Linked DNA regions of Lepisosteus oculatus. The protein of the gene in region 3 interacts with the protein of the main gene of each other region in a biochemical or structural test. Links are inferred from orthologs where the notes say so. Each region holds a gene or a part of one and is shown on either strand. Other genes may lie near its edges.

Region 1 (7,997 bases), on a different chromosome or scaffold from region 3:
TTAATAAAATGTCAAGTTGGGGGCCTGAACACAAAATACTCCAAGGACTGATCCACACCATGACTTTCGAGACCGGGCTACCAGAGTCCAGATCCGAGCTGCACCACCAGCAGACTGCTGTGACAAGAACCCAGACGCATGGCCCAGCTCAAACAAGAGCAGCAGTGTGGCTCAACTGGTAGGGCTCTGGACTCGTAACTGCAAGGCTGTGCTTTCAAACCCCAGGTGAGATACTACTGGTGTACCCCCAGATCAAGGTACTTCAGTACTTCACACTTACTGTTCCAGAAAAATCCCAGCTGTGATACATGGTGCATATATCTACGTCACTCTGGATAAAAGCAAAAAATAAATGGATCTGAGTAATTCACAAATTACTCGCCTTGTGCTTGAGGTCACAGTGATAAGCTGCACTGACGGAGAATCGACAATTATTAATGCCCTCTACTACTGGAGGTGAACAACCCAACTGGGTATTAATACACAGAGGAAGTCACTGAGTCAAGGATGAATCACTGTGCTTAGCACAGGCCGCCTCATTCTCACTCGTTCACACACAGAGGAGCTGGTAAACAGAAACACGTGGCAGAAGGATATTGCTTAATGCCACAGTTTGACAAAATAAAAAACACAGTTACACTGAAGCAAAAGTAAGATACTCCTCTTCACTAGAAGACCCAAACAGAACTCTGACACACGGAGAGTCAAGTCAGAGTTCCTATGCTCAGCACATGCACATGAGCAGTGCTACAAAAAACCAAAAAGAATGTTTCATAAACCAGGAGCAGTTTTTTTTTCTACATCTTACTGTTCATCTGCTAGAATTGTTACTTTGCCTTGTACTCTATTTCAATAGACTCCAAGTATCACTGTGTTGTCCTATTTAATTGAACTACATAATTACATTTTTGACCATGAAAAACAGAAGGACTGTACATTTTCCATCAGTCACATTGGTTAACACGTCTGCAGCACAATATTCTTTACCACAAAACTCAGAGAAAAAATTCTACTCTAAAAAGTTCTCATTCATTACCAAGGATCAGGAATAGAATTAATGTAACCACAGCGATGACTAAGGAAAATGCTGAAACCATGCCTTGATAGCAAGTACAAAATAAGATCTAAAAACTGTAAAACCATAACAAAAAAAAACATTATACACAACAATTAAATCAATGAAAATAAAAACAGAAATTCCAGGTAGTAACCAGAAGACTGAGTTCACCCGATGTTGACAAATCATGCCACGAAGACCCTGCCCCATTCACATATGCACAAAGATCAAAACTCCAGTTTCCAGCACGCAGATTCTTCCCAAATCTGCCCTTGAAAAAAGATTTACACACCCATCCCACAATTTCTACCCAAGACCTTCCAGTAAGGCTTATAAACAAGCAGTGTGGGCAGATATGCACAGGCAGGGACTGCAGACGTTCAACAAATCCTGCTCTGAGGAGAAATACTGAAGGTTTAACAAAAACAGAAGGATGTACGTCCTACAAAAGCCACCGGACAGCAAGTTACTAAAAAACAAAAACATCATGGGAACACGGGGTGACATTTTAACACTTCCTTTATGATGTAAAGTGTTGGCCAGTAAATTACAGAAAATTGACAAGAATTAACTACTACTACTTAAAAAAAGATGCACTTCACCATTACAGCTGAAGAGTGTTAAATGCAGGCAATGTTAAATGAAGGCAAACGAAGTGGCACGAAATATTCAGCGCCTACTGGCTTATATGCATAAGTCACTGGCTTGTATAACGTGAAAGGGCTCGTAATGCTAGAAAACAGGAGTCATAACGTTGATTCCTAACAGCAGGGCACAGAGAAGCAAGCAGGACTTGCCTGCCCCAAGGAGTCCTCTCCAAAGCTCCCCACTTCGTCCCACTTGAGGCTTGGAAAGTGTGCTGAATTTGTCCTCTTTAAGTAAATGAGCTCAGTGAAGCAACCCTTCAGGTCACTAGACAGGCTTCAAAGCCACTTGGGGGAGAGTGTGGAAACGGGCTGAAATGTCTTGGTGTCTCTTACAAATGATTTGAACCAAGGCTACGACACCTCGTTTGTCACCCAAGGGTTAACACAAAATGAGCTGGGACTCGGAGTCCAAGTGTTGGACGACCCCAGCAGGGCCAGTCATTCGCTCTAGGTTTTTCTGGGACACGCGTAGCGCTATGAAACATCCTGAATTGTACAGCACGTCAAACTTGACCGCCGCCCGGTAGTCCACTACACGATTTGGAAGCACAACAGAGGTACGTCTGGAAAGATGTCACTCTCGGGAAGATCCTGCATTAACTGGGTACCTTTCCCTAAACTGCACCGAACGCGCAATTCAACTGTTAATTAAATAATAAGAGATGATCGATTTTTAACCGACAGCAGTACAGGAACAAGCTTCTGGACCTCGAAGTCTTGGAAACGGTCTGATCCCGCACGTCAAGACAGCACACGAGTGAACGCGGACCACAGCGCTCCGTGCGTGGGAAAAGCTGTACCCAGAGAAACAGCAGCTACGAGAATGCACAATATTACTTCCCCCATTTAAACCGGCTGGCAGGGAAAATACAACCCCTAAACTCGGCAAACGCGAGCGGGGTATCTCCTCGACACCGTGCACACATCCGAAGCCGGGACGCCCGCTTTTCAGGAGCGCAGCTGCAGAGAAAAGCGCAAGTGTGTGGAGCGATCTTACCGACGGAGAGGTGCGTTGAGTCAAACAGATCAAGACGCCACCCTCTTCAATCCCCCCAAAAAAACAACACACTCCCGGAGCTCAACCCCAGCTCTCCAACACCCTGACAGCGAGTCCCGTTTCCCGCAGGGGGCCGTGTGCAGCCGGACGCTATTCGGTGCGACACCCCGCCGCCCCAGCGGGCAGAAGCAGCGCCTCGGCACAGCCCGACCCCGCTACCCCGAAAACACCCCCGAGCCGCCTCGGCTCACAGCAGCGAGGGCCGCGCAACGCAGCCGGCACACGGCGGCCCCTCCACGGACGCTGTTGTGCCTCCAAACCCTTCTCCCTCTCGCCCCGGCCCGCCAGTGCCGAGAACAAAAACACAAACTTTTACTTTCCCCGCCGGCGGAGCGCCCTGCTCTCCTTTCTTCCACCACCCCTCCCCATACTCCTCTTCCCCGCCGGTCTGCGGGCCGCTCCGGCCCAGTCCCTCACCTTTCCAAGGGGAAGCGGGATCCGGTATCACCGGGGGTTTAGGAATCGTCGTGCGCCTTTGAACGGGACGGCGAGCAACAAAATAAAAAAACAAATCCACCCCTCTCACACGGAGCCTCCATCCGACCGCCTCCGCCGCTGGTGCTGCTGTATCAACATGGCGCACGGCGCCTGCGCACTGGGCGGCGGGGAGCGGCCTGGCGTGTGTGCGCAGTTCCAGCGCTGTTTGGCACCATCGGCGCCCACTCAGGACCCAGCAGAAAGGAGATGTGACTTCACGCCGATACCCGGGCCATGGCGCGTAACAGTCGCTCCCTTTCTTGGAGCGAGCTATGGGCAATGTGCAAAAACACACTTAGACACAACATGAGTGGGCACTGCGTGTTATGCGTGCTTCTTACTTCGCGATGTTTCACATACCTTCGTGATGTAAAATATCTAAAAATAAAAACAGCAGGTAAGGATAATTGTCAGAAGTAGATCCTGCATGATAAGCAGCATTCTTGCATAGAGTGCTGACATTCCGCTTTTATTAAATAAATGTGAATCTTTTAGATTTAATCAGATGAGAGAATGTAATTTTATAACTACACAAATTTTAACACTAGGCCTTAGGTTGCGTGATAAATTCTTCTAGTTACAGTGCAGGACTGTCAATTGTTTCTGTTATTTATATTGTAGCACTACATGCAGTCTTGAGCACCTGTATTTAGCCATGCCATCATTTTGTTTTCATCAAAACATTTCTTAAATTGGTTCCTCAAATCTGTCGTCTGCGTGCACCTTTCTCACCCAACACTACCATGACCTCTGATGTTGACTAACCTGACAGTAAGTCATATATAGTGGGCAATGAAATATCAAGGGATTCAGTGCCTCGGATTTGGGGTCTCATTGCTCTCAAGGACTTGCTGAATTCCAGGTTCTTCCCAGGGCCTGGAGATTTTTGTTCGAATCTGAGTAGTCAAAGAAACCACCAACCAAATTATCTTCTAAATTAGACCATTTTAAGAATGTTTCTTGAAGTCTTTAACAGACAAATGCACTGGCATTCACTTCATTAAAGCTCGCCCTCTAGTTTTTTAATGCAAGTCATTACCCCTTCATGTTTTCTGTATTTTTTTGTTTCAATGTTTTTTTCTGTTTAATGAAACTGAAAGCAGCCTTTTCTTGGAAGATCCTAGGGACTAGGATCTAGTTGGCAGTTTGGCCCCTTCAGCAGCAGTGAGATATACTGTAAATGTCATTAAAAGTCCAGCGGTGTTTATTCTTAAGCTTGACTTACAGTTAATGCCTATTCATGCTCCATGTGCCACTGCTGAGCTTGAAGTAAACCACAGGAAGTGACTTTATCAGTACACTTCAAGACCTCAAATACTTGGGTCAATCCCGCCTCTTCTTATCAAGACTGAAGAGACTCTGCTACTTTGATCTGTCAGAGAGAGACATGCTTTCAGTCAGGAACGATCCTAGTCATCACTCTATGAAGTCTTTCCAAGAAGCAGTTACCTTTTTCTGACACGATTACTGCAAAATCGAACACAGTATTCTAAATGTGCTAACATATCATTCACTTTTAACATTCTTTGATTTAAATGTGGATCTTTTCACTGTAAGATTCTGTTGACTACTTAACCCATATTATCAAAAGCAAGTCAGTAATGTGTCAATTTAATAATGTAATCACCCACCCTATATTGAATCCTAAAACTTCATGCTCAGTACCAGCCATGAGTTTTTTTTTCACTGCTGCAAAAAGACACCATGAAAAGTTTAGCTTGCAGTTTAGGCTGTCCAGAGTAGGATCTCCGTCTTTTTGCATATCCTCCTGGTACAATGTTTGCAAACCAGTTGTGAACCTCTGTTTGGCAATTGTATCAGAGATGAGATGATATAAAATGAAATATATAGGTATATATTTGATATATGATAAAAGAATGTTGATGTGTCAAGGTCCAAAATTGCTTTGTGTACTTATGTTGAGTAAGTGAAACAGTACCTTGTTTGGACCATCTAAAAATGGAGCTGAACTACAAAGAAAGGGTGCACATTTTCCAGTTTTTTTTTGCCTAAAAGTCTAACCTTTAGTGACTGGCAATCTAGAGATTTTGCAAGTTACTGCACAGTGCAGAAAATAAGGATTTCTTCCACAATTAGATTTTCTTCTCTCACACCCAAGGCGTTTTCTTTCTTCTCTTTTCAGCATGGAATAAGCCTATTACTTGTTCCTTTCTTCCACAATGCTGCTTTTCACTAAAGCCACATAATGTTTGATATTCTGCCTTCTGTTGCCATATAGTCAGAAGACAAGGGTTTCCTGACTATCAGAGTGTAATAGCATAAAAATGATTCTACTCACTTTACTGAGGTGGCATCTCGAACCCAAGCCAGTCCATTGCCTCGCCCACTAGCCTCCTCCATCGTATCCTGTCTCTCCAGGCATCTACATCAATATCCGCCTTACCGTTATCTTCTTTCACTGAGTCAAGCCAGCTTATTCTTGGTCTTCCTCGTGGCCTCTTTCCCTCAATACCCTCTTCTACTTCGTCTTTTATTAGGTCTTGATCTCATCTCATTACATGGCCATACCACTGTAGTATTGCAAATATTTTGATTCTAAAGGATCTCATAAAATAATAAGACAAAAATGCTGACTTGGCAGTAGTATTTTTTTACAGTAATAACTGAACAAAGAGGAAAACAGTGATTAAAGCATTTAAAGAAAACTGATGCATTTACTAAAGATAGAGAAAAATAAATTAACTTGGTTTTACAGTTCATGTCTTAGGACAAAATGAAAAACTAACATAATTTCATACAGACGGTAACTCCTCATATCTTTACACCAGGTGAGAAAAACAGATATCAAATGTATCTCTTATCATGTACATGCATGTTATGGAAAGAATTCATGTGCAATGTTTTTTTACACATTCTGAAGGAGTATTTCCATAATTCTCATATTTATAGGCCAAATCATGAGGCTTTGAGAAAACTCATGTCAAGGAAATACTGCATGAATGCCTCCCACAAGAGGAATGGAGTGCTTCTTTGTTTTTGAGCTAAGTTCAGTTCCCACTGAAATTCTCACTAAAGCTACCAATAGCGCTGTTACAAAAAGTCTTAAGAGTATTTGGGTCATGCATTTCAAGTTCTTTTCCTTTACAGATTTGTGAGCCATTGATTTTCGAACACAAAAATTTAGATTGTGTCGTTACTTGGTTGCTTGTTGAGAGAAGTGCCTGAGATATTTTAGAAGTTTAAAATATAAAATATAAAATAAAGTTTATTATTATTATTATTATTATAAGACATTTGTACTCATTCTTTTAACTGAATCAGAGCTTGGCTCACAGTTTGAACAGTGTATCTAGGCTAAGAGGCCACTAGGGCAGCAGAGGGGGATTAGGATGCTTTATATACTCAGTTTATGGCTGACTGTTTCAAAGCATATAATTATACTAATCCACCACATCTTCTTGCTGTGTCTCTGGAAGAAGCTCTCATTTTGCCTCAGGCTCTCCCATCTCAGACGCTCATATTGTCTTGGTTGTTTCTGCTGCCGGTGAACAACACCGTGAGTCACTAATGTGGGTGAAGGCTACATGGCATTCCACACTAAAAGGAGCCTTGTTCTCACAAGGGCACCCACTGGCAAAATCCATTTCAAACAGTTTAAGCTAGACCGTTTTTATTTTTAAAGTAAAAAAGGTTTCAAAGCAGGCCCACACACACCACATTGGTTCACCCACATTCATTTCAGCTTTTCACCGCGAAACACCATCGCTTTGCAGTTACACTTCCATTTAACATTAATGGGGGAAGACCTTAACTGTCAGCTTCAAGCTAGATATCGTCTTGAAGACCCTTTGCATTACCAAGGTGAGCTTGGTATTTCATCATAAAGAGAGAAAAGGAGCAGCAGCATTGGACCTGATAAACACGAGCACTGAAGGAACAAGAAAAGTAGCACTTATTAGAACAGATAAGACCCAGTTTAACCTCCACTGATATCAGATTCAGGTTTAGAGTACGATCAATTAAACTTTTATTGCATGAAATAGATCCACTTTTAAATACAAAATAAGTGCCCCATCCCACCATACTAAAATAACCACCCTCAAAATAATTCAGCGGAATCGCATGGTGCTCCCACTCTAGCATCTGTAGGACAGGGTCTGATGAGCCATGCCGACATACCGAGCACTGAGCAAGCCTGCTTTCCAGTGGACAGTGGTGATTGTACTGTCATGTTGTCTCCAAAGAAGGAGCAGGACACCAGGACCTCAGTCACTTTATGGCATCAAACCATTTTCTCTGGCATGCATTTTCTAAAATGCCTGACAATTATCTATAAGAAAACTTGAATAAAAACGATTCCAACCAAAGCCATTTAAAATTAGGGGGTCATAAGGTTTTACACCTCAAGTCAATGTCATCATATACAAAAATAGCCATGACACTTCAGCAGATAAAAACAATTCTATTTATAAAAAAACTAATTGCATCTTTTGCTGGGAATAGGTATCGTTAAGAAGTCCTCGGCAAGGATAACTTCCCTGCCGTTCAGAGCTGCTTCGGCCTGCCTCTTGAGCTCCAGGACGTTGTCGTCTTCCTTTTCCTTGAGGAGGCTCTGGGGTTTGTACCTCTGGCTGAAGTGGTAGAGTACCAGCTGCTTGACTTGGCATGCCTCTGCCAGCTCGGCGGCCATGCTGGGTGTGCTGTGCCCGTGCTCCCAGGCCTTGTCTCTCAGGCTGTCCTCCAGGGTGGCCTCGTGGACCAGGACGTCAGCTCCGTGGCACAGCCTGCGCCCCGCGTC
Region 2 (7,659 bases), on a different chromosome or scaffold from region 3:
CTGAAGAAACTGGCATGAATAAAGAATTACACATCCAGCTCCCAAGTCCTCCTCCCTCCCCAGCCACCGCGAGACACTGACCTCATGGCAGTGGTCCGGCTGAGCGCTCTTCAGGTCCCCCGTGTCGGAGAAAAGGATGTCCTGCAGGTCCTCGTACCACGCCTCCAGCTCCGCCCCGCACAGCGGCCCCACGCCAGGGGGGTATGGAGAGAACGTCATCGACTCTGCTGTCATGTCGCACCGCGCTGCGCTCTGCACCCAGACGACAAAAACAGCTCACTCAATCTGTCCACACAGGAGAAACTCGGCACATACCAGGACTTAAGAGTGTCCCGCACCGACAGGCTGCAGGACCCAAGTCTCTTCAGTCTGAAGAGAGTGTCCCGCACCGACAGGCTGCAGGACCCGAGTCTCTTCAGTCTGAAGGCAATTTTGAATCTTGGTCACAAACGAGAGTCAGCCCACCGGACTTCTTCAGAATGAACAGCGACACGAACTAAAGAACATAAGTGGGGGAAAACACATGGAAGAGCACTGAAAACTGAGAACAGGAGGAAGTTCTCTACACAAAGGGTGGTGGGAGTGTGAAACAAGCCAACCATCCATGTTGTTGAAGCCGATAGCCTGGCTTCTTTCAAGAAACAGCTGGATGAGATCCTGGGATCAATCAAGTACCAATGAGCAAACGGGACAGAACTGATGAATGACCTCCTCTTGTCTGCGAATTCCGGTCCGAACAGAGATGTTTTAATATAGTACAACTCTGTTCTCCTCTCCACCGATAGCTAGTGTGTGGCGAGTGTACTGGTGCAGTTGGGGCTGCACACTGCTGGTGGTGGAGTCGAGTTCCCATTACCCGTATAGCACTTTGACTGGAGTGTCCTGAAAAACTCTATATAAAAGTGTAAGTGTAAGTTATAAGGTAATAATATGACAAGCTGCGGTGCACTTATGGGGGTGGCATTGAGACTGAGAAACAGCGCAGCCTGCTGGCTTACATTCACTTTGAAAACATGCCCCATTTATAATGTATAATGTTTATAATTTTAAAAGTTTGATACTGCAAGCGGCTTCAAAACTCATAGCACACCTTCATCTCTTACTCCCTTATATAGCTCAGTAAGTGGGGAAAAAAAAAAAATTATACGGGTTTATCAAAGGTAAGTAACTGTCACCAGTCTTCACAAGTACTAGAACATAACTCTTTGCTTCTTATCCTAAAAAAACAACAGCACCATTCACCTTTTAATCAAGTCTGGCGATGATTCGGCGGTGTTGGTGTGTCAGAGACGATCTAGGGAAAAACAAATATCTTTTGTTAATATCTTGTACTCAGAAGAATCTGAATACCCCCTACAGCAGAATCAAAACCTACAGCTGGGCAGGCTGACACACATTTTACACAGCTTCTGTCACACATATCAGACAGCATCCGAGATAAAAATGGACTGATTGGAACACGCCCATGCTTAGGCATTCTGTGATGTGCTGAGATGATAACCAAGAAAACGATCTGCATCAAAGTTACATTTAATATTTTATGTCACATTAAATTTTCAGACACTTCAAATTGTTGCCGTTTATAACTATTCACTCCAGGTGGGACGTTTTAAAATGTTGTTTTTTTTTAATAAATAAACATGGCTGGACAAGGGACTTGTTTATTTCCTACCGGGCTAAATCCACTGTGAAATTTAGGTCACGCTGGTTTCCATGCAAACATCGGCGTCGCTCGCGAGCGCCCCCGTGCGGTCGTCTGGGTTACAGCGCTGATCCCTCGCTTAACCCCGCGGCGAGGAGGCGCTCGAGCACGGGGCACAGGTGGAAGGAGCTCGTTAACGACACACAGGTGAACCAGCGCAGTTGAAACGTTTCTTAAAAATCTATACACTTTGTCATTAAATGGCGCTCTATTTGTCTCCATGGTGCTATTTCTTGATTACCTTTACTCAGCGCGGATAAGAACAGAAAAACACTGTTCCCCTCATGGCTCAAGTTAGTTTCCACTATCCAAACTCACGGAGGCAAATCCGTTACCAGTTCAGAGGAGAGCGACCACAACAATAATTCCTCTCTGTTTAGCATTTATGTAATTATTGTTCTGTACACACCGAAACAGTAAACTCGGCGTTCTACTCCTGGTGTTAGAAAATATATTGGACGCTAGGCAGTGGAAGCAGTAGAAACTATCGCAGCTAGCATCGGAGAAACATGGTTTAGTATGCATGTTTTTTTTTTAATGAAACCTTGTCTCAATAGGACGATTTTCTTCCTCGGCTTGTTTGTTCATCGAGTGCGGGTGGTTGTATTACGTAATGGAATCAGACACACAAAGGCAGTCTGAGGCTCTTGATCACGCTTCCTGGGAAGCATAATTAACAGTCAAATTCACTTGTAGTACTAAACCAGTACGGAATGAACACACATGAATTAAAACATTTGAAGCCTAATCGATTTCCTAAACTTATATATATATATAAACTGACAGTCCCAGTCATTCGATATACGGACGTCTTGGTTAGCGAAACACTGAAACAGTGTGAGGTTTTATTAAATTAAGCTTGAATTACACTGACATTATTTCAATATTAATTGGCTCCTAGGTTGTAATTCAGGTATAGACGTGAAAAAAAGGTAACTAAAAATAGAATAACTTTTTTTTAACGCTCACATTCAAGACAAGATCGAACATCTTAAAAACCAATAAGTCGCCACATTCGAAAGAACATTGTCATTAAAAAAAAAACACAACACAAAAAGGAAAACCTCGTAATGTTAAAACGGGAATAACAACTGTTTTCCTAAAACGGACATGGGAGTTCTGCCAAAACATGTCCCTGCTTGTATTTTTTCCACAACCTCAACCCTCACCGCTAGGGAATAAGTTAAAGTTAGCACAGCGTGTCCAGAAAAGAGCGAAAAAGCTCTTGGAATTCTTGGAATTCAGAATAGACAAAAAAAAACACTCACCCTTTTTCTTTTATTATTTCGCTTTCTTGACTGTCTGTGGTTCGGAGAATTTTTATTTTCTGGTGTGGAGTGATGATAGCTCATGTTAACCATTGTTCAGTAATGTCACTGAATGTGAATTTCGGAAACTCCCGGCGATGCTTATATACTTGGAGCAACCAAACCACTTGAGACAACAGGGGAGGTGACAGTCTAGTCTGACTGCTTAGCGTCAAGCTGTGATTGACAGGTCTGCTGTCCATTCCACGCAGCGCTCGAGGGCACTTTCGCTTAGTGATATCCAATGAGAGGGCGAAGATGCTCAGCTCTCCAAGATGTGTGGCAAAGAAGGGGGCGGGCCTAGTTAACCTTGCTAGCTGTCGCGGGCTGTATAGTTTGTGTGCCGAAGAAGTTGTGATGCAGTCAGAAGACGCCTAGGACGAACGCCGGGGCATGTGGGAGTCATGTGAAATGATGCAATCGTTGGCAACCGGTTTCCAAGGAGAAGCAGGCAGACGACCTGTTAAACTTTGATTTGGTGCCGTTCTCTGAACGGCGTTTAAAACTTTTAAGACCACATTGCGTGTAACTTACTCGTAGGCTGGTAATGAGAACTTTTGTTTTCGTCATTTTTTTCAAGTGGGAATGAGGATTTGGGGAGAACATTTTCGGGGACGGGGGGTCTCCAGCAGAAAAGTGCTGATTTTAGAGTCCCTCTCAGCACCGTGAAACCTCGCAGTTTTAAAACCGGGAGTATTTCTTCCTTACTAACAGTGGTCTTCCGAAAGCAGCCTCATTCCCTGCCTGTGAATTTTATGTCGTAGTAGTCGCCATGATAACTAGCTCTCAGACATACCCGCACGCCGAAAAAAATCCTGATCCAACAAAATTCGTTCATTACTCAATCGCAGTGTTTCTTAAGAGTTGTATATAATGAATTTCAGGCTTTCTTAAATGCGCGCTTAAAAGTTGGTCATAACTCAGAACTTCAATAGCACTCTGAAGTTTTCAGATAAGTATCCTGAATATATACTGACTTTTATTAACGCTAATCTGAGCAAAAGCTATTTTACTGTACTATTATTTATATTTTGTTTTTTAGTGTAACCCGGTAGAAAATATAACGCTTTGTGTTTATTATTGTATTGCTTGTATTTATAGTTAAAAAAAAAGTTGAAAAATAGCCTATCACTGTCCCCCGTGGCCATGAATCAGCTAACCTTTACTTTTGAAACCAGTACTTTTGCAAAGTCATTTCCGCCTGTAGCTCGAGAAGCTCTCCCTCCAAGTTCCGGGAAAATGGCAGCTTCGGGCAGGACCGCAGACACGATCGCAAAAAAAAATTGAGTTATCGGCTCATTCTGACTTAAAATTTTATTTCTGGTGTCATCTGTCGTTTTTTTTTTCTTCTCGTAACGCCAGACGGCAACACACGGGGAAGTTCATTTACAACGATTAATTAAGCAGCGTTAAAAAAAAGCACAAATCTGAATGCAAGAATACCAGCAGAACGGTACCGTGGGCTATTAAAAGTTATTCGTTAGAGGATGACTTCTGTCTGCTTATTTTTATGCAATGGCAGCTTACTCCCATCATCAGTCTGTACATACACTTCGCTGTAGGAATGTGAAGTGCGGCTAACTGGTTTGTTCGCACGAAACGTTTCATGCAGAAGTCACGCTTTCAAGAATGTGACTCTAAAAGGGGAGTGGATTTGAGTACTGTATTCCGTGTGGTGTGGAACTTGGTTTTTAGATGATCTGATTGTTTCTATTGGAAGGCTGCAGTCGGGATATTAATAACTTTCAATCCTTCTGGAGGGAGAGCCATGTCGCCCCCGCCCCCTTAAGACGGCCTCTCCAGATGTTGGCTAACATCTGGGTCTTGTTCTCCTCGGGGCTGCTGCGGTGATCTCGCCCCCGCCCCCCAGATGTCTGAGTGGGTGTGGGAGCTGTAAGCCCGAACTTTACTCCTTCACTTTCTGCAGTGATGAAAGGAGATGTTGTAGCACAGGGAACAGAGGAGTGACCCAACAGCTTCTCGGTGGCCTTAAATCGGCGTTCGAATCGCTGCTCTTCGTAACTAATTCAGCATCAGAAAAGGAGTAAATAGTTTAAGAATTATTTAAAACAACCAAGCAAATGCGTGACACTGTGCATCGCAATAGATTGAAAATAGATGTACATTTTATCAGTCAGAATACTGTTTACAAGTTATGAATTTAAAAACGGAACATTACGAAAGCCCCCGATCTGTCTCGGAATGAGACAGGAAGCCGAACATGAGTATTGTGTAACAGGTAACAAGTTAGGGCTAAGTGCACAACGAGGCGTTTAATGCGGCTGTTATTATAATCTTCCCGAATGCTTCGACAAAATGAAACATACGCGTTGCTCAATGTGTTATCTTTCATTCAAATAAAAACGTGGACCAGGTATTCAAAAATACCACTTAGCTGTCAAATTTCTTTGCTCGTATCCCCCCTGGATAAAGCGCAGGGGCGGCACGGTGGCGCAGTGGTTATCATGGCTGCCTCGCAGTGCTGTGACCTTGGGGTGCTGTCTGTCTGTTTACGTGGAGTTTGTATGTTCTTTGTAGGTTTCTCCCAGGTGTTCCAGTTTCCTCCCACAGTTCAAAGACACGCTAGTAGGATAATTGGCTCCTGGGGAAACTGGCCCCAGTGTGTGTGTGTCTGTTCTGCGATAGGCTGGTGTCCTGTACAGGGTGTACCCCCACCTTACGCCCTTTGCTTGCCGGGATAGGCTCCGGCTCCCCCGCGACCCTGAATTGGATAAAGCGCGCCTCAACGCCGCACGAGCGCAGACCAACCAGCAAGCCGTGGCTAAGGGGGGCCCTAGCAACAGCACGAGCTGTGAGCGCAGCGAAAAGCAGGCACATACCCGAGTCCCTCTGCAGAGCGACGCTGTCGCCGAATAATAACAACATCTGTACATGATCTCCGGTGACAAGAGTCCCTTTTCCCACTCCTTCAGTTTGTTTCCAATATGCCCCCATAGAATTGCAAGCTTTATTGTTCGGGTTGTTATAATTGCGCCAATGAAAAACTCTTGTCAGAAATTGCGCAACGTCAGAGCTCTAATTTATAGGTACAGCGGTTTAGCAGTATAGGACAAACTAGTGTTTGCGGACAACAGCGCAAGACTTGATAAAGGCAGTAACCTGGATTCTTTAAAAGAGGGTTTTCTCTGCTAAAGTGAAATTCGACCTAAGTATCCGCCGGGAACTGGGTGCGTACGATTCACGGTAGAAAACCACAGAGCCCAGTCTCTGACAAGGGATAGAGATGTCAACTGTTTTGGTCGCGTCAACGCGCACGCCCTTCAGAGACGCGTACGGGTTTAACACACTGGTAAGAGGGGAATCGCCTGGAAATTTTCACTTTTCCCGCTGCTCTCCTTTCGGCACCGCGGGCTGCGGTGCTTTAATTCTGACAGTGAAAGAAACACGTCTGTTTTTAAAGGAGGCAAAACTGCAAAAAAATCTGGGAACAGGTTAGGAACAGCGGAGCGACCCGCTAGCTGGCTACGCTTCGTGTGTGTGTCCGGCCCGGGTCTGCCCCCCAGGTACACACCTGCGCCTCTCGTCCACTGGCCGGGAGAGAAAGTATGTCCGCCACATGTTTTGTGGCTTCACCCAAACGGAAGAGGTCAAAAAACTTGTGTCCATCCCTCCGCGGGTCCGGGTCTGTTGTGTCTTCAGCGCTCCGGGGTGTTGTTTGGATTGGCATCCGGGACAGGAACGATTAAGACGCCAGATGATATGATACGATTTTTATTTTTTTAGAAACAACACCTTAGTGGACACAGGAAATAATGCTCTCCCCTAAACCGAGCAGCGTTATTTGTGTATTTTTACAAAAAGTCGGGGGAAGAGTTTTGCACGCCAATGCACGCTTAAGGTAAAATCCTTTCTGTCCCAGTCGATAAACGTGTTACGGCCCAGACGCGGTCCGGCTGAGCACCAGCAGAAGTGTCATCTCAGCTATCGCGGTGCCTACGCTAGCTTCCACGCCGCGGTGGAGATGAGGTCTCTTGACTATCTTACCGTCACGGCTTAATTCCCTTCCTGTATAAATCGGCATTAAAAAAGCAACAGAAAAATGCACTTTAAACGTATGCTTCTTAACAGTTACAGGAAGCAGGCGACAACGTTTCGACATTTCCCTTTTTTTTGCGATTTATCGTTGGCTTAGGAGCCTCGATACATTCCGTATATTTAATGTTGGTTAGCTCGGACGTCGGATTACTTGCGACAAGTCTGGATTGTACTCTAATATCTTGTCCTCTCGTAACATGACTGCAAAACACGAACCCGAAGAAAAACGTAAAACGGGCATAAGAAATTATCCGTATTTTGAACATGCAACCAAGACGTAATACAAGGAATCGGTCTACTTTACAATATACTATAGTATTATTCTGTTGAGTAGACCCAATTCTAAAACTAATTCGTGCTTGAAAATTAATTAATAATTAATCTTCCATTTCTGTTTTATTCTTCCTAGATTTCCACGTAAATTAGTAATACGTGAGCAGGTAACACGACACGCCCGCTAGGCCCGCTTACTGCGCATGGTGTACACCTTACATGAATGTGCATAGATAATACGGGTCTTTTTGATGCCGCGTTCACTATAACTCAATTATAACCCAGTACAGATTTAATAGTCTAAACACAACAAACAGTTCC
Region 3 (7,072 bases):
TTGAAATAAATAAATTCCAAATGTAGCCCACATCAGATATGAGATCAATGGCACAATGATAGATGGTGAAAACCCAGCAGAGATTTTTACAGAGCAAGTCTATCTTGAACAGTAGTTGTCTTGTGCAGATTTTTTCATACATGATTACAGATTTTTGACATGCAGGCTAAAACTTCCTAAATTGACACATCAGATCTCGGAAAAAGGGGCCGGAAGTGTTCAGGTGTTACAGTATTCCTGTGGTGCTCATTTGGGAATGTGCTATAAATTGCGATACTGAATTAGAACTTGTGCATGGGGAAAAAAATATTACCACCAACACATGAGTGTCTGAGAATTACAAAAACAGAATGAAACTAAACCATTTCCAAATATTTTATGTAACCTAGGTCACAGTAAAGGTAATTTTCATCTTACCCTATGAAATATAGTCAATTTTCTTACATAACTACATTAAACACTGAAAATATATTGATCTAATGCTTTAGGCTCGAGTGTATTGCTTTGATACAGTAATGGACATAGGCTCCTTTTGGATCTTGTTGTCCTGCAGCTTTAGACTGTATACTGTTTAGACTGCGAAATTGCAGACGATATCACCACTGTCAAGAATTCCCAGATCACACTATCGTCGCAAAACTTAACGCCTTTACTCAGTTTTCTTGTGCTGAGCTCGATGTAGCTCCTACGATAATCTCTTAACCAGCTCTGGGTTGTATTAAAGGATGAATGCGTTCGGCAGCTCAGTATCTTCAGAGCCACGAGTTACCACAGCTTCACAGGTGCCTTTTCAGTGAAGGAAAATAGCGGTGAACCCCATTCAGATATCATGTGAATGCACCGGCTTACAAGACCTCTTCTGAGCCATTCACGCAACTTGCGCTATAAGCAACAGAGACACGAAAACAAAGTTTGCACCAAAGTAAAAATATTTTTAATTCAATAAAATAGTATTTATACATTTCATTATAATTTGTATATACCTTTCCATCTTTAACAGATTACTTCATTGCATTGCCAATACTGTTACATCGGATTGCATCATTTGCGCAATCCAACTCCCTTGACAACCGTTGCTAAAAAAAAGAGCGTACACTTCGTGTTTTCATCAACATTTCTTAAATAACACAGAAGTATATTAAACGTTAAAACTCGTATAAAAATACAGTAAACAATTTTTGAAAAAAACAAACAGACATGGTATCACAAGTGGTAATTTATCAACAATCAGTCGCATATTCCATGTTCCCAAGCAAACAACACCCACACGCTTTCAGAAATACGGTTCCCTTGTAAATTGGTAAACAATTTGATCCTTTTTTAGGGAAAGAGAAACATCTGAGTTACAAATAATACTTCCCAGAGAAAAAGGGGGGCCAGTATTTTCCAGCTGGCAATATAAAAAGTACCCCCGCAGTTGAAGCGGCGGCCGCGCGTACCGAGTCCCGCAACGGCGCTAGCACTGTCCGGTCGCCGACAACAAGTTCCTCAGGGTGGCCAGCTCCCGGGACAGGTGCTCCACTCGCTTCTGCAAGCGCTCGTTCTCCGCCGCCAGCTCCAGTACTTTGTGCTGGGTCTCCATGTTGCGCTGCTTGGCTTTGTCCCTGCTCTTCCGCACCGCGATGTTGTTCCTCTCCCGCCGCTGCCGGTACTCCTCACTGTCCTTCTCCAGCCTCTTCTTGCCCTTGCTGCCCGAGGACATCTTCCCGTGGGACGGCGACCCCCCAGCACCTGGCGGGGCGGGGGTGCCCGGCGGGCTGGAGCAGGAGGAGGAGGCGGTGGAGAGGTTCCCGATGCTGCCGCTGGGAGCCGACTGGTACTGTAGATAAGACCTCATCTCGTAACTGGGAGAGCCCCTGTCCATTCTTAAATCTTCCTTTAGCTCCTGCTTGATATAGCCGCCCAGCAGCTGCGGGCTAAACACGGTGTCCACTCGCGTCTCCAGTAACTCGGGGAAGCCCAGCAAGTTCGACGGTCTCGGGCTGTCGCCCTGATTGGCACCCCGAGCGCTCAATGACAAGTAGTTTCTGTAGTTCTGCAAGGTGGCGGCACGCTTGTTCTTGCTGTCTTCGGCAAGAAAAGTGGAGAAGATGTCCCCGCCGTGGTGCTGATCCAGGGTTTCGACCGGGATCTGCTGCTGCTGCTGCTGGAAGGGCAAGGCGGGGTCCAGGTAGATGCTGAAGTCGATGGCTTTCTCGTGCTCGGCGATGCCCAGCTCCGTCATCGAACCGCCGATGGACTGCTTGCAGCCTGTGCTGCTGCTGTGGTGGTTGTTGTTGCTGCTGCTGCTGTCAACACCTCGGAACGCAAGGTAATCCCCGTCGTAAAAGCCCGCCACTGCCATCGATCTTAACACCCGCCGGTTTGCGGGACCATCGGGATCAGGGACGGAGCTCCCTGGCGGACTTGCTTTGCTGGCAGAGGGGGAAAAGCGGGCGAACTGGGGTGCACGGTCTGCCTACAAATAATAATACTAATAACGTCCGAGGCGATTGCTCAATCGGTGTGTCCTGGGAGGCAGTCTTTGGCAGCGCCCACACGCTCGGCTCGGCGTCCAGTTCGACAGCTTGCGCTTGCAACAGCGTATATATAGCGAACCTGGAAAGAGGGCGGCGTCAGACCTCAGGGCAGGGTGGCGGCGTGACGGGCTGTACCGGTTGAACAGCAAATCAGCTCGACGCTGTAGTCCGAGAGCTCGTTTCAAGATCAAACTAGTTTTTTTTTTCCCCAGTGCTTCTCTGAACTTTTTTGCCCTCGTAATGGACCTGCAAAAGAGCAACGCAGTGCTGTGAAATAAAAAAAGGCAACCGGCGCTTCTCTTAATGTTGTGTATTTGGAGAAAAAAACATTGACTTGTGAGCTGTACCCTTTTCTGTGCGGAGACTAGGGGGCTTTTAATACACCATGTTGTGACATAAGAAATCGTTGCGTTCAAATGATCAAACAACACTGCGTGTTTTACAGTAATGTCCTGTACCATTGATTATTCTTATTTAATTGCTCATTGACACAAAGATATTGTTGTTTAACGGCGAGCGATAACCATCCTAAGTGCCGAATTTCTCTCATGGATGTCTTTCACTGCTCAATCCTCCCTCCCAAACTACGGTCCCTGCCAAAAAGCGGGGGTCGGTCTTCTGTAGTGTCAAAGTCGGGGGATCCGCCGTCCTGTTGCGCAACACACGCTGGCGAAACATAAAATACTAATAAAAACATAAATACGCAATTGTAATGGCCAAACGTTCTTGTTGCATTTTTTTTTCTTTCAAAGCTGACAAACCAAAAGCCCAACCACAGCTTGGACATTGCTCCACAGCTCCTAGCTCTAGTTACAAGCACATTACTCGCGTCGATCGCCAATGCCAGGCGACAATGTTAGGGAGTGAAAGGTCGTTCTGTAAACTTGTTTTACAACAACGGGGGAGGCCTTTTGGTGCGCTCAAGGGAAAAAAAGGTCTCGTATCTGCATTTTTTTTTACAAAAAGAAACCTTTCAGACATTTTAAAAAATTCAAAATGACTACTGCCACAGTCCGTTTCATGTCTTCTATTGACTACTTGTTCCAAACTCAGCTCCCCAGTTTCTTATGAAAAAGACTGAATTCTCTTCCTGTGCATGTTTGAGCACCGACAGCGATCACTAAACCAGAATGATTTGTGCGTATTTGAAAAGGATGTGAAACTTGCTTGGCGTGTCATTGAGCCAGGGTGCAAGGGAGTTGCAGCCCTTTGCAACTGCAGAGGACACTCAAGTCAACTCAAGCACAGGGCAGACGCGTAAAGCAAAACTAAAAAAAAAATGAGGACTGGAAAGAAATGTATGATGGCCCGAAGCATTCGAGCGATACGCAGGACGGATAAAAAAAGATGATATCGCCCCCTTGTGGCCTGACACGGAATTGTTATAAAAATTAAAAAAACACAAAGATGATGATGACGATGATTATTATATAGCTGTCCCATAGTACATGAGATTCACAAATGGATTCCAAAACAAATATAAATCCACGATTGAAGGAAATCGTTATATTATTATACGTTTCATTAGAATACCTCTTTTATCGTATTTTTATTTTGCTTTTTTATTCAGTTAGTTCGTTCGGGGACTGGTGGTAATCGTGACTTCAAACTGGTCAGAGTTTGCAGGGAGATGGGATTTACAACACGACTGGATGTGGTGACTTTGGAGTTCAGCTAATGACTTGCTAGCGGTTTGACAGGTTCGAGGTAAAGTGCAGACTGGGAGACTTCTTGAAACCTGAACTAACTTGTCGGCACACCCAACACCGGCGCCTCTTACGTCAGAGGAGCTCGGCGCAGCGCTTAACCTTATCAGCACCTGTATGACCGACCGTACTCGTGTCGAATTCACCTTCATTGCTTAGTGAAATAAGGATCGTACGGTGGTTAGCACTACCGCCTCACAGCGCTGGGGCCTTGGGGTTAAATTCCCGAAGTGTTATCAGCGCGGAGTTTGTATGTGCGCCCCGTGTTTGCGTGAGTCTCTTCCGGATGCTTACTGGACTTACTGGTAGGTTAAGTGGCTTCTGTAAAAATTCGCCCTGGGGTGGGTGTGTGTGTGTGTTAGTATCTGTCTGCCTTGTGATGGACGGGCGTCCCGTCCAGAATGTACCCCGCCTTGCACCTGGTGCTTGCCGGGATAGGCTCCAGCTCACCCGCGACCCAGAATTGGAAGAAACGGTTAGAAAATAAATGGATGGACGGCGAAATAAGAAAATTAATACAAACAGTTCCGATTTGTGATTTTTAATTCAAACGGTTCTGTTATTTTTGCTTTTTCCTAGCTAACAAGAGAATTCTTCTGCGCACAGTATTGGCATTGGACTAGCACAGTACCAAAATAATAAAATAATAATTTTAGGTTACTCATTGTTGAGTTTCGTTCACTGACAGATGTTCTCACATTTTTAGGAGCGATGTCTCCTAAACTGTAATAAGTGATTCAAAAAATGAATGGCACACTGCGTTTATTTGGCGATTTTATCCGAAACGGATAACCAGAGGGATTATTAATTTAAAGGTACATGAATGAAAACGCATGTTAAAAATGAAACAGGAAACAGAAACATATGGATTGTCTAAAAAACACGTGGGTCACGACCCTTTCAGTTTCGGGACCACTGTAACACACCTCCGAGCAGCCGAATCTTCAAAATAAAGATTTGAAACACCTAAGGTATTAATGCCTTTGCTCGTGCAGCTGTGCTTAAAACTGACTTTCAGGTGTTATGCCTTTTTGTTAACACCCTTAAACTTAAGGAACGCTTAACGGAAACACGAAGGCAAAATTTAAATGTACTTTCCTTAATGTAACTGGCCGCTGAACCCTAAAAGCAGATGTCATTTAGAAATATTGCGGATAGTTTTTATATGACACTTTGATTATGAACACCAGACTGCAACGAGAACCCGTGGTTGTTTCGTAGTGTGCAAAATGCACTCTGGGCTTCCGTCTGTATGAGCAAAGTAGGATCTGATGTCATGCTGTTATATTTTAATTCGCACCACTTTTTTTTTCCATGCAACTGGAATGTGTCCAATGTCCACAGACGGCCGTACGCAGGCAGCGAGCCAGACACACGCCTCTCCCGGCCAGCCCACCCCCGAAGTGTGTCATGTTCCGTTTCTCTGATTGGCTGGGGCTGGGTGTGGCCAGGAAATACAACCTCTGCTGGGCCATTTCCATTGGTGGACCGAGGGCGCTCCGTCACCCGTCCGGACCTCGACGATTGGTCGAGCGGAATAGGGAGGTGAGAAATGATTGGCTGATGCCAGGGTACGGGGCGTGGCCAGGCCGTGATGCCGGGGCCCCAGTTGGCTCGCTCGCCGGGCGGGGGTTGGATTTGCTGGGGAACATGGCGAGAGCAGGGAGCGGAGACGGGTTACAGAGTAATGGGATCCAAGAAGACCCTGAGCCGCGGGGACCGGGCAGGGGAGAATGTCGGTGGGGCCCGCAGCATGCAGGTGCCCGGGAGCTGGCGGAGCTGTACTCTCCAGGTGAGATACCGGTGACAGCGGGCTAGCGGGCGTCACACCCACATGAGCAGCCTGCGATTGAATCCTGGTATTCACATTCACTTATACAAGAATGAATAGCTGCTACCCGACAGGCTCCGTGGAGTAGTATACTCACCCGGAGCTGAGCATGTAAGGAAATGACATATATGTTGTCGATTCTCTGCAGTTGTTTATGTATATCACGGCAGGAAAGTCAGTGAAAATAATGAGGTTTACCAGGTCCAGGTAATTGTTAAGATACAGTGTTAAATAAGAGAGGGTGTGTCGTAACCATGGGTGGGCAGCCGCGGTTCTGTATATAGTATCCGCACGTGATGCGGTTGTTGTTATGTGAGTGAACAATGGCTTTATGGACGGGGCACAAATTCAGAGCATTGTTATAACAGTGTTAATAATAATAATAATAACTGCTTACACGTATATAGCGCTTTTCTGGACACTCCACTCAAAGCGCTTTACAGGTAATGGGGATCCCCTCCAACGCCACCAATGTGCAGCATCCACCTGGATGATAGCGTTAGTGCTTTCGATAAGTAGAGTCGTTTAACGATTTTATTTTCCAGTTAGACACTAGGACTGCTGGAAATGAAATGTGAGGTATCATTATTCCAACAACTATTAAAAAATACAGGGTGTTGGATGATCTAAATATTTTCCTTAAGAAGTAACGCCACCAGCTGCCTTTTTAATGTTTAATTATATAGATGTCTATGTGAGTGCACAGTCCTTATGGGTCTTATTCAGAAGTTACTCGAGGACAGTCAGTCTGAATTGATGGCGATTTGTAATTGAGGGAGCTTCTAACTGCTTCATCCGATTCAGGGTCAAAACGGGGGGACTGGGGCCAATCTCAGCAACCATTGTGTGCAAAGCAGGATTCATCCTAGGAGGGGACGCCAGTCCATCACGATGCAGACACAGACACGTACACACCAGGGTCAATTTTCCCTGAAGCCAATTAACCTATCAGAGTGTCTTTGGACTGTGGGAGGAAACAGGAGATAATAGATCCAGAAGCCAATATTTCTGTCCTC
Region 4 (7,563 bases), on a different chromosome or scaffold from region 3:
CACCCTCTCCAAAACAACCCTGGTCCCCAAAAAAACATTTTAGTATTCTTTTTCTAACCCAGGGTAATTAAGAGGACATTCTAGGGCATATTGCTTGACATTCACATTTTTTGGCATATGGAAAGGGAGGGAAAAGACAAAGGAAAGGCATGAAAGTCTCCGTAACAAATGAATAACTAACTTTTATGCCCAATGAACGACTTTATTTGCATTTTTAAGCGTTTTTTCAGGTTTCTTTGTTATTAAATTCCTTTAAGTCATTCCACAAAATAATGAAAATGAAAAGCATTTTGTTTTTCACTCACTTTTAAGGTCATTTTGCGACCGGCTCACTTTCGCTGGCTGGAGTTTCTTTTCTTTGCAGAAACACTGCGATGGGGAGCTGCCTCTTGCTTTCCTTCAACCCCTTGAACTTCACGTGGTACGGCTCGAAGACCTGTTCCAGGTGCCGAACAACGTTAACGCGCCTATCCACTGAAGGGTCAGAGTGCAGTATTCTGTCCTCCAGTCTTCCGAGGTCCTGGAATAGAGCTGCAAAAGGCTCGGGGGGACACTGCCGGTCTTGCTCTTCCTCTTCACCGGCGCTCTTGAGAGGCTCGTCAAGCTCCTCCTCGGTGAACTCATCTTCGTCCTCCTCCAGAGGCTCTTCCAGCTCCCCAGGGTCCGTGTCAGAGAACAGTTAACGGACGCGAAAGGCTCAGAAGCAGACTAACACACCAGGCACGCGGGCCTGCGGAAACGCCGTCGCCTGCCCGGTAGCTCCCCAAATTCTTTTTTTCTTTTTGACCCACGAATAAACGAAACCGTGAAGTATGAACCCACGAAAAGCGAGGGATGACGGTATAATGCGGAGCACATTATACAACAACACTGTTTCGAACCACCGCAATCTCTGAAGCGCTCGGCTCGCCGGGCGCTAGCTACAGACCTCACCTGCTCTATGTTGGGCTTCTCGAAGGGAGGGCAGCCCAGAGAGCCCTCGACCACTGGCCGGCTCATCTGCAGGATGCATTTCCTGAGCAGCTGGGAAGACATGGGGAGAACGCAAGCACATGAGTGGCCATTGAGAAGAGCCTCGCAGCTCGCCCTGGACATCTCCGAAAGGAAGACACGGCCACAAGGAACACATTTCCAAATCAAGATAAGACCAGATCACTTAATTGGCCATGTGCAATTTCTTGCATTAGGAATTTGTCTTTTCGCAGACCCCAGCTTGCTCTCCATGAGACACAGACAGGGAGAGAAGCTTGGGCTCAGAGCGCAGAGCCAGCGCCACGCAGGCCCCTGGAGCAGTTGGGGTTAAGGGCCTTGCTCAGGGGCCCAGTGGAGTAGGATTCCTCTGCCGGCCGCGGGATTTGGACCGGCAACCTTCCAGCCACAAGGGCAGATCCTTAGCCACAGTGCCACTGCTCCTCCCCAGGGCTAGTGGCTGCTGCGCGGGCTGTGCCACCTAGCTCCGATTACCTGTATCGTTTCAGAGGTCTCCTTGAGTCACCGGCAGCTCAAGGCCTACGGAAGGGGGTGAAATGAAATGGCCTATGTCCAGATGGCCGGGCCGGTTCAACTACAGGGCTACAATACCTGCTCCGCTCCCAGGCTGGAGGCCTGGACCCCAGGGGGCGCTAGAAGACGAGAGAGCAGCAGGGCTCGTACCTTGAAGAGGTAAAAGTACACCTGCTTGGTGTCCGTGTCCTCCTCCTTGTGCACGGACATGAAGAGGTTCTCCACGTCCACCACCATGCCCAGAAGGCGGTTGATCTCGTCCTCGGAGACGTTCTCCAGGTGGGAAACGTGATCCGCTGTGCCAAGCAGGGAAGAAGAGCAGGATTCTGGCGTTACCATACGAGGTTTTCACCCCTTAGTGGGCGAAACACTACGCGTTATTTCACGAGTTGGCGATTTCCTCCCTGAGACATTCATATGTAACCAAAACAATTTAGATGTTAACCAGTGCAGCCAGTGATCTCATTTTCTTTATTCTTTCATTTAAAGTCCTAATCTTACAGCCAATGCCTTATTATGCACACAGGAAACCAACACTCAAAGATCTAGCAGAGTATGTGAAGATACCTTGTTAAGAGAATCAGTATGCCATATTCAGAAAACACTAAGGTATCAAAGTCGGGCCAGTGCCGGCAGCATGCAGCGGATCTGAAGGAGAGGGCGGCGGAGAGGCGATACCTAAAGCGTGCCCACAGCTGCGGCAGGGATCACTGAGACAGGCTGCCTGCTGCTGGAGATCCATCCGCTGGGCAGTGGGAGGGTTAGGGTTTTTCCAGCCATTGCATTTACAGGAGTCATTGGCCTTCAAAGACAAGACAAACAGTCAGATACGAGATCATATCTCCAGCGTTTCTCCGCAGCGCGAAAATCGGTCTCCGTTCATCTTCCATTACCACGGCGCGACCAAGCGGTCCTATAAAAATAGAAATCATTGCACTCAATGCACAAAAAATGTACTGATCGATACTGATTTAATGTTACTGCGGAACCAAACTTCAGTAGGTTGACTGCGTCTAATTTGCGATTTGCAATTTAATGTTCTGCCTACTGTCAGCTTGAAAACGTCAATTAATAAAATACTAATAATTAAATGTATAATTATTCTCTGCCGGCCAATTGTTCAGTTTCAGACCAAAAAAACTGCTCTGAACTGTAGCGAGTTCTGGTGATTTCAATGAGCCTGGGATTTAAAAAGACGATTTGGACTGGAATCACAGTAACAACATTATAGCCGGATATCATCGCTGCTTCACTTGTTATCCGGGGTTAAGACGACACCGGGCAAATATAAACGAAGGTAGTTAAGCATGACAGGGACGTTTTAATGCCAAAACTCCACAGAAACGTAATCTGGACCAGTTTGCATTGCACGCTGTGTGCTGGGAAGCGGGCCAGTAGGTGCGACGCTGAACGCCCCGCTCTGGATCAGCTGAAGAGCGATCCCATTCATTGATCACTTCACGGCCCTCGACACACACACCTACAGGTCGCTTGCAGGGGCCGGAGGGACAGCCCGCCCAGCGGGCACACGGCCCGGGTCTCCCGCCCCTGCCCCCCCACACCGTGCATTCATCCCATCGTCCGCCGCCGACTTACCTTGCAGGCGGAGAAGACCCCGAGTTTCTCCAGCTTCTTCGCCCGCGGGAAAGCTCGGACCTGCGCTTTCTTCTGGCTGGCCCGCTGCTGTTGACTCAGACCCGGCCGGGCTGGGTCGCTGTTGCCGGATCCGGAGCCCGAACTCGTGTTCGACGCTCCCGCACCGCCGGGCTGAGCCTGCTGCTGCAGCCGGGGTTGCGCGGAGGCCTGCGCCGCCGGGTCCGCCATAGCAATAGCCGCAGTCGATTGTCTCTCCTGCCGTTGTGTTTGTGAACAATAAAGTTTTGTTGATGGCGGCTTGGCTCCAAACTGCGCATGCGTCACCGAAAGGCGTTCTGGGAATTGCCGTTTGTTTTTACATTTGCCTAGATGGATTGTTTTAAATTACGAAATTGCTTTAGATACAGGGTCTTTTTAATAAATAAGGTCACGAGCTCTCATTGTGGGATATGGCTTACGCCGGAGGACTTGAATGAACAACACGCATGACAATGACCAATGTATATTTGGTCATTATCATGCATGTTTAATTTAACGTTATTTGTGCCAGCTGGATGTGCTAATCCTCCTAACCACTAGGCAGCGATACTCTGTTGTTACTGACGCGGCTTTTGTTGTATATTCTTTTTGGAGTAGGTGGGATTCAGGTGAAAAGTAATTAAAAAAAAGCTGGTAGAAGGAGAATTAAAATTCGCTGTGTTATTTAGAAAGGTGTAGCATCTAACATGTCACCAGGGTAAAAAAAAAAAGGTCTGGCGAGCGAAATGTGTATTCAGACACAATGGAGCCAAAATCAGCTCTCACGCGTAGAAACAACGCCTGTCGTACATTTGTATCGCGTCTCATCCACAGTACAAAGCCCAGGCAGCGCTAAGGAACTTGTTAACGTATTTAATACTCCGGAAGTGACTTATTTTCCCTAAATCGGATTAGCTGCATTTCCACTGACGCCTGAATGAGAGGAATTCTCAAACCTTGGGATTGGCACAGAGCTACCCAAACACACAACTTTATAAGACCTAAAAATTAAATAAAATGCACATGTAAATAAACTAATTTTGCTTGCAATTAATCAGCTTGGTACAAAAACCAAAAGGCATTGTGGTCTCACCAGACCAGGATACCACAGCTACCACAACTACCAAAAACTATCACAGCAGGTGATATCCATATACTTCAATTCTGTGACTTCTGAACCACCTCTAAACATTTTGCCTGCAGTAAAAACCCAAAGTTCGATTCTGAGGCATCCAGCAAGTTACATTAAATGGGGAGACTGAGGTGGACCAAAATCCTTGGACACCTAAAACTGGGACAAGATTTTAAAGTTGGTCCGGGATTGGGAAACTATTTCATGTCTCATTTTTTCAATAACGCTTCAATTAATCTGAGGTTTATACTATACACAGCATAGACTATAGTAATCTATAGAAAATGACCTTGTGCCTATGTGAAACAATTTATAGGATGTTAATCAATGATCCATCATTAATTTGCAGTTTCTCTGATCAATGAAGCAGACTGTTTACTTGAATGACAGCAGGACCAGAGACCATCTAATCAATTGACACTCAAGAAAAAAAGTTTTGCACAGTTTCACTGTAATTAGGTGTAATTGTTAAATTGTCCTATTTGCTTTGGTTTAAGGGCAAATTTAACAATGACATCTCTCAAATGTGCGAGTGAACAGCGTCAGACTCCTGTGGTATTGACTCTTTGTTGGTCATTGTTTTTAATCCGTGCGTGCAAGTGAAATTCAGTGGACAACACTGCTTAGACACGTCCCCCTCCATGTTTATTGGTAGAATTACAGAATGAGCCTCCCCATACTTGAAAACAGGACTCCTCCACACATGAGCTGAGCCACACAGTGACAGCACACTCCAGCTGACAGGACAGCTTTGTTCTGTTGTGCCAGTCATTAATGTCATTTAGTGACAACACAGCACGATTCCAAAGGACTCCAAAAACAAAGACAAGATGTTATCTGCAAAGTCTCTACCTGATCGACGGCACCAGTGCATGTTACAACAGAAACCCCAATTAAAAAAAAAAAACAGGACCAGTTAAAAAAAGAAAACTCATGCTTTCCAACACAAAAATAAAGATGACAAAAAATACATTTATATATTGGGAAGGTACTGTATTGACCATTAAGTACTGATTGGTTACATATTGAAGAAAAAAATATACAATACAAATACAGCAAAATAATCTCCAATACTCGTAAGTGTGATTTTGGTCAGAAAAAAAATCTGGCTTTTTTTTCCATTTTTATAAGTTCAACAGATTTGAAAAATTGTTACATTAATGCTAAAAATGACTTACTGGTATAATAATGACTGTTAATGCACTATGCATATAGTTGTGATTCTTACACATAAATGATCAAAAACCATGTTAGGCCTATCCTATTCATTATATCCTGTTTTGCTTGTGCCAGAATAGTAATAATATCAATAATAATCTACAAGATGGTTAATTTGGAAAGAGATGCAACTCCCCCAATTTCTCCCACCCTCCCGTGCCTTTGTGCTGGGGAGGGGCAAAAGACGAGGGTGGAAGGTGGGAGAGGGGCAAAAATAAAAAAAAAAGAATTCGCTACATGCACCCACCACCAGAGAAGAAGGTAAGAGCAGAAGCCAGTATAATACATTTGTTTTTAAAAAGTGACTTAAGACACCACTGAATTAGTATTTGTACAGAAAGATGAGAGAGAGGCTGATGGAATGGATTCTCTCCAGCTTATGATTTAAAAGAAGAAAAAAAAAATCAAAGCAGCAAAACCAAGGTGGGGAGGGAGGAGAAAAAACCCACAAAGCTGCACGCTCCGTTAAGTGCGATCGGGAAGAATGGGCTCGGGTGGATCTGCGCGACGTCGTCGGGTGGTTCTGTTCGGTCCGCTGCCTCTCGGCGGGTCAATTACTGCAGCACTGACTCCGGTTCTGAGGGCTGCTTTCCTGCAGGTCCACCCCTCTGGTCCTGCCCGCTGTGCCCGTTGCGCTCTGAGGCTCGTTCTTCGGCAGCTTCTTGGCTACAAGATAACAGACACGGCAAGCTCAGGCGGCGCTGCTTTGCTGGAGGGGTCGCGACCCTCAGTAACCCATAGCACAGGTTTTCAAACTGGCATCCAGGGAGCATGAGCCCTCTCGAACCTGGGCCCACCCGACTGCAGAGGCCTGCCCATTTTCAGTCTTGCTCTTCATTAATGGAGCCCTCCGTTCAAGTCATTTTCTGATTTAGAACTAGATTTCTCATCTCCTACACTGAGGTTACGTTCCAGTAACCTTAATTAAATTTTCACTTTTAGGAGCCAAGAGAACCAACATATATTTAAACCAGCGAAGCACTCACCGAGAGTTGAGCTGGAATGACAATTCGGCAGATACTGATTAGGATCGGGATTCCTGGATGGCGATCCAGACACCATCAACGTCTCTCCCCCCACCCCCAATATTAATTTGGGCGCAAGAGTCCAAATTTAGCTGGTGTGTGGGGAGCGTTCTGGCGCACTATGGCTGCCGTCGCATCATCCAAGTGGATGCTGCACATTGGTGGTGGTGGAGGGGATCCCCATTACTTGTAAAGCGCTTTGAGTGGAGTGTCCAGAAAAGTGCTATATAGGTGTAAGCAATTAATATTAATAATAATATTATTTAGAGTAACATGCACCAGCTGTCATCAGTACTTCTCCACTGACGGACCTACTTTGAAAACAAACAGCTGTGCTTGAAAAGAGGGAACCCCCTGCAGGTCTTTGCTTGGAAAAAGGGGGTACCCCAGCCAGGGAAGTCCAAATATACATTCTTTACTTAAGGTGACATAGAAATGAATACATTTCTCTAGCTTGAAAGTGTACACGTAGGACCTGACAGACACTTATGCACAAAGCTGCTATTTGTACCATGAGCATCGTGGTAATGTGGGCAGGGCGAATTTTCACAAGTGTGATGGTGGGGGTTCACTTGAATGAGACTGATTTTTGCATTTTGCAAGACAATAGTCCAGGCTGGGTGACCCCCCCCACCAAGGGGCAGATACTGTACCTATGGCCATGAAGATTTCATTCACGTTCATCGCCGTCTTGGCGGATGTCTCCATGAACAGCAGGCTGTTGTCGTCGGCGTAAGCTTGCGCTTCCTGGAAAGACCGACGAGACACGTTTGTGGCGATGAGTCTACGGAGCTTGTACCCGAGTCGCCCCCCCCCCCCCCCGCTGGCGTGTTTCAGCCCACTGACCACCCCAGACATCGTCAAAGCGGTATTCCGCACACGAACGCAAGGTCTGCTGTAAAGTGGACGCGTCGACTGATGGCGACAGAGAAAACGGCGTACAGTGTTGTGTAGCTCGAGGACCTTTTCCGGGAGGATTGTGTTTAAGGTGGTTTTCCTGCACGTGCCAGAAAACAAGCTCACCTGGAAGTCCACAGCTCTTTTGTTGGCCAGGTCGGCCTTGTTGCCCGC

The links.
Region 1: the proteins of cebpb (region 3) and smad4b form a complex in vitro, tested with the Homo sapiens proteins (2 studies listed by BioGRID and IntAct). The link is inferred for Lepisosteus oculatus from reciprocal best matches to the Homo sapiens genes CEBPB and SMAD4.
Region 2: the proteins of cebpb (region 3) and ddit3 form a complex in vitro, tested with the Homo sapiens proteins (2 studies listed by BioGRID and IntAct, with this or other methods). The link is inferred for Lepisosteus oculatus from reciprocal best matches to the Homo sapiens genes CEBPB and DDIT3.
Region 4: the proteins of cebpb (region 3) and kat2a form a complex in vitro, tested with the Homo sapiens proteins (2 studies listed by BioGRID, with this or other methods). The link is inferred for Lepisosteus oculatus from reciprocal best matches to the Homo sapiens genes CEBPB and KAT2A.

Annotation. Positions count from the first base shown.
Region 1 is NC_090698.1:14,987,186-14,995,182, forward strand, and holds the start of smad4b (mothers against decapentaplegic homolog 4), read right to left. Parts: upstream 3,365-7,997; 5' UTR 3,179-3,364; intron 1-3,178. Other genes in the region: elac1 (zinc phosphodiesterase ELAC protein 1), read right to left, coding at 7,677-7,997. UniProt on the Homo sapiens protein: In muscle physiology, plays a central role in the balance between atrophy and hypertrophy. When recruited by MSTN, promotes atrophy response via phosphorylated SMAD2/4.
Region 2 is NC_090696.1:18,053,548-18,061,206, reverse strand, and holds the start of ddit3 (DNA damage-inducible transcript 3 protein), read right to left. Parts: upstream 3,144-7,659; 5' UTR 2,971-3,143; exon of another isoform or gene 1,673-2,970; intron 1,295-1,672; 5' UTR 1,243-1,294; intron 253-1,242; 5' UTR 235-252; coding exon 82-234; intron 1-81. UniProt on the Homo sapiens protein: Multifunctional transcription factor in endoplasmic reticulum (ER) stress response. Plays an essential role in the response to a wide variety of cell stresses and induces cell cycle arrest and apoptosis in response to ER stress.
Region 3 is NC_090711.1:12,165,648-12,172,719, forward strand, and holds cebpb (CCAAT/enhancer-binding protein beta), read right to left. Parts: upstream 2,567-7,072; 5' UTR 2,345-2,566; coding exon 1,457-2,344; 3' UTR 912-1,456; downstream 1-911. Other genes in the region: peds1 (plasmanylethanolamine desaturase 1), read left to right, coding at 5,876-6,017. UniProt on the Homo sapiens protein: Important transcription factor regulating the expression of genes involved in immune and inflammatory responses. Also plays a significant role in adipogenesis, as well as in the gluconeogenic pathway, liver regeneration, and hematopoiesis.
Region 4 is NC_090723.1:5,256,235-5,263,797, reverse strand, and holds the start of kat2a (histone acetyltransferase KAT2A), read right to left. Parts: upstream 3,374-7,563; 5' UTR 3,328-3,373; coding exon 3,100-3,327; intron 2,306-3,099; coding exon 2,182-2,305; intron 1,800-2,181; coding exon 1,654-1,799; intron 1,024-1,653; coding exon 934-1,023; intron 1-933. Other genes in the region: rab5c (ras-related protein Rab-5C), read right to left, coding at 6,018-6,133, 7,146-7,239, 7,516-7,563. UniProt on the Homo sapiens protein: Protein lysine acyltransferase that can act as a acetyltransferase, glutaryltransferase, succinyltransferase or malonyltransferase, depending on the context.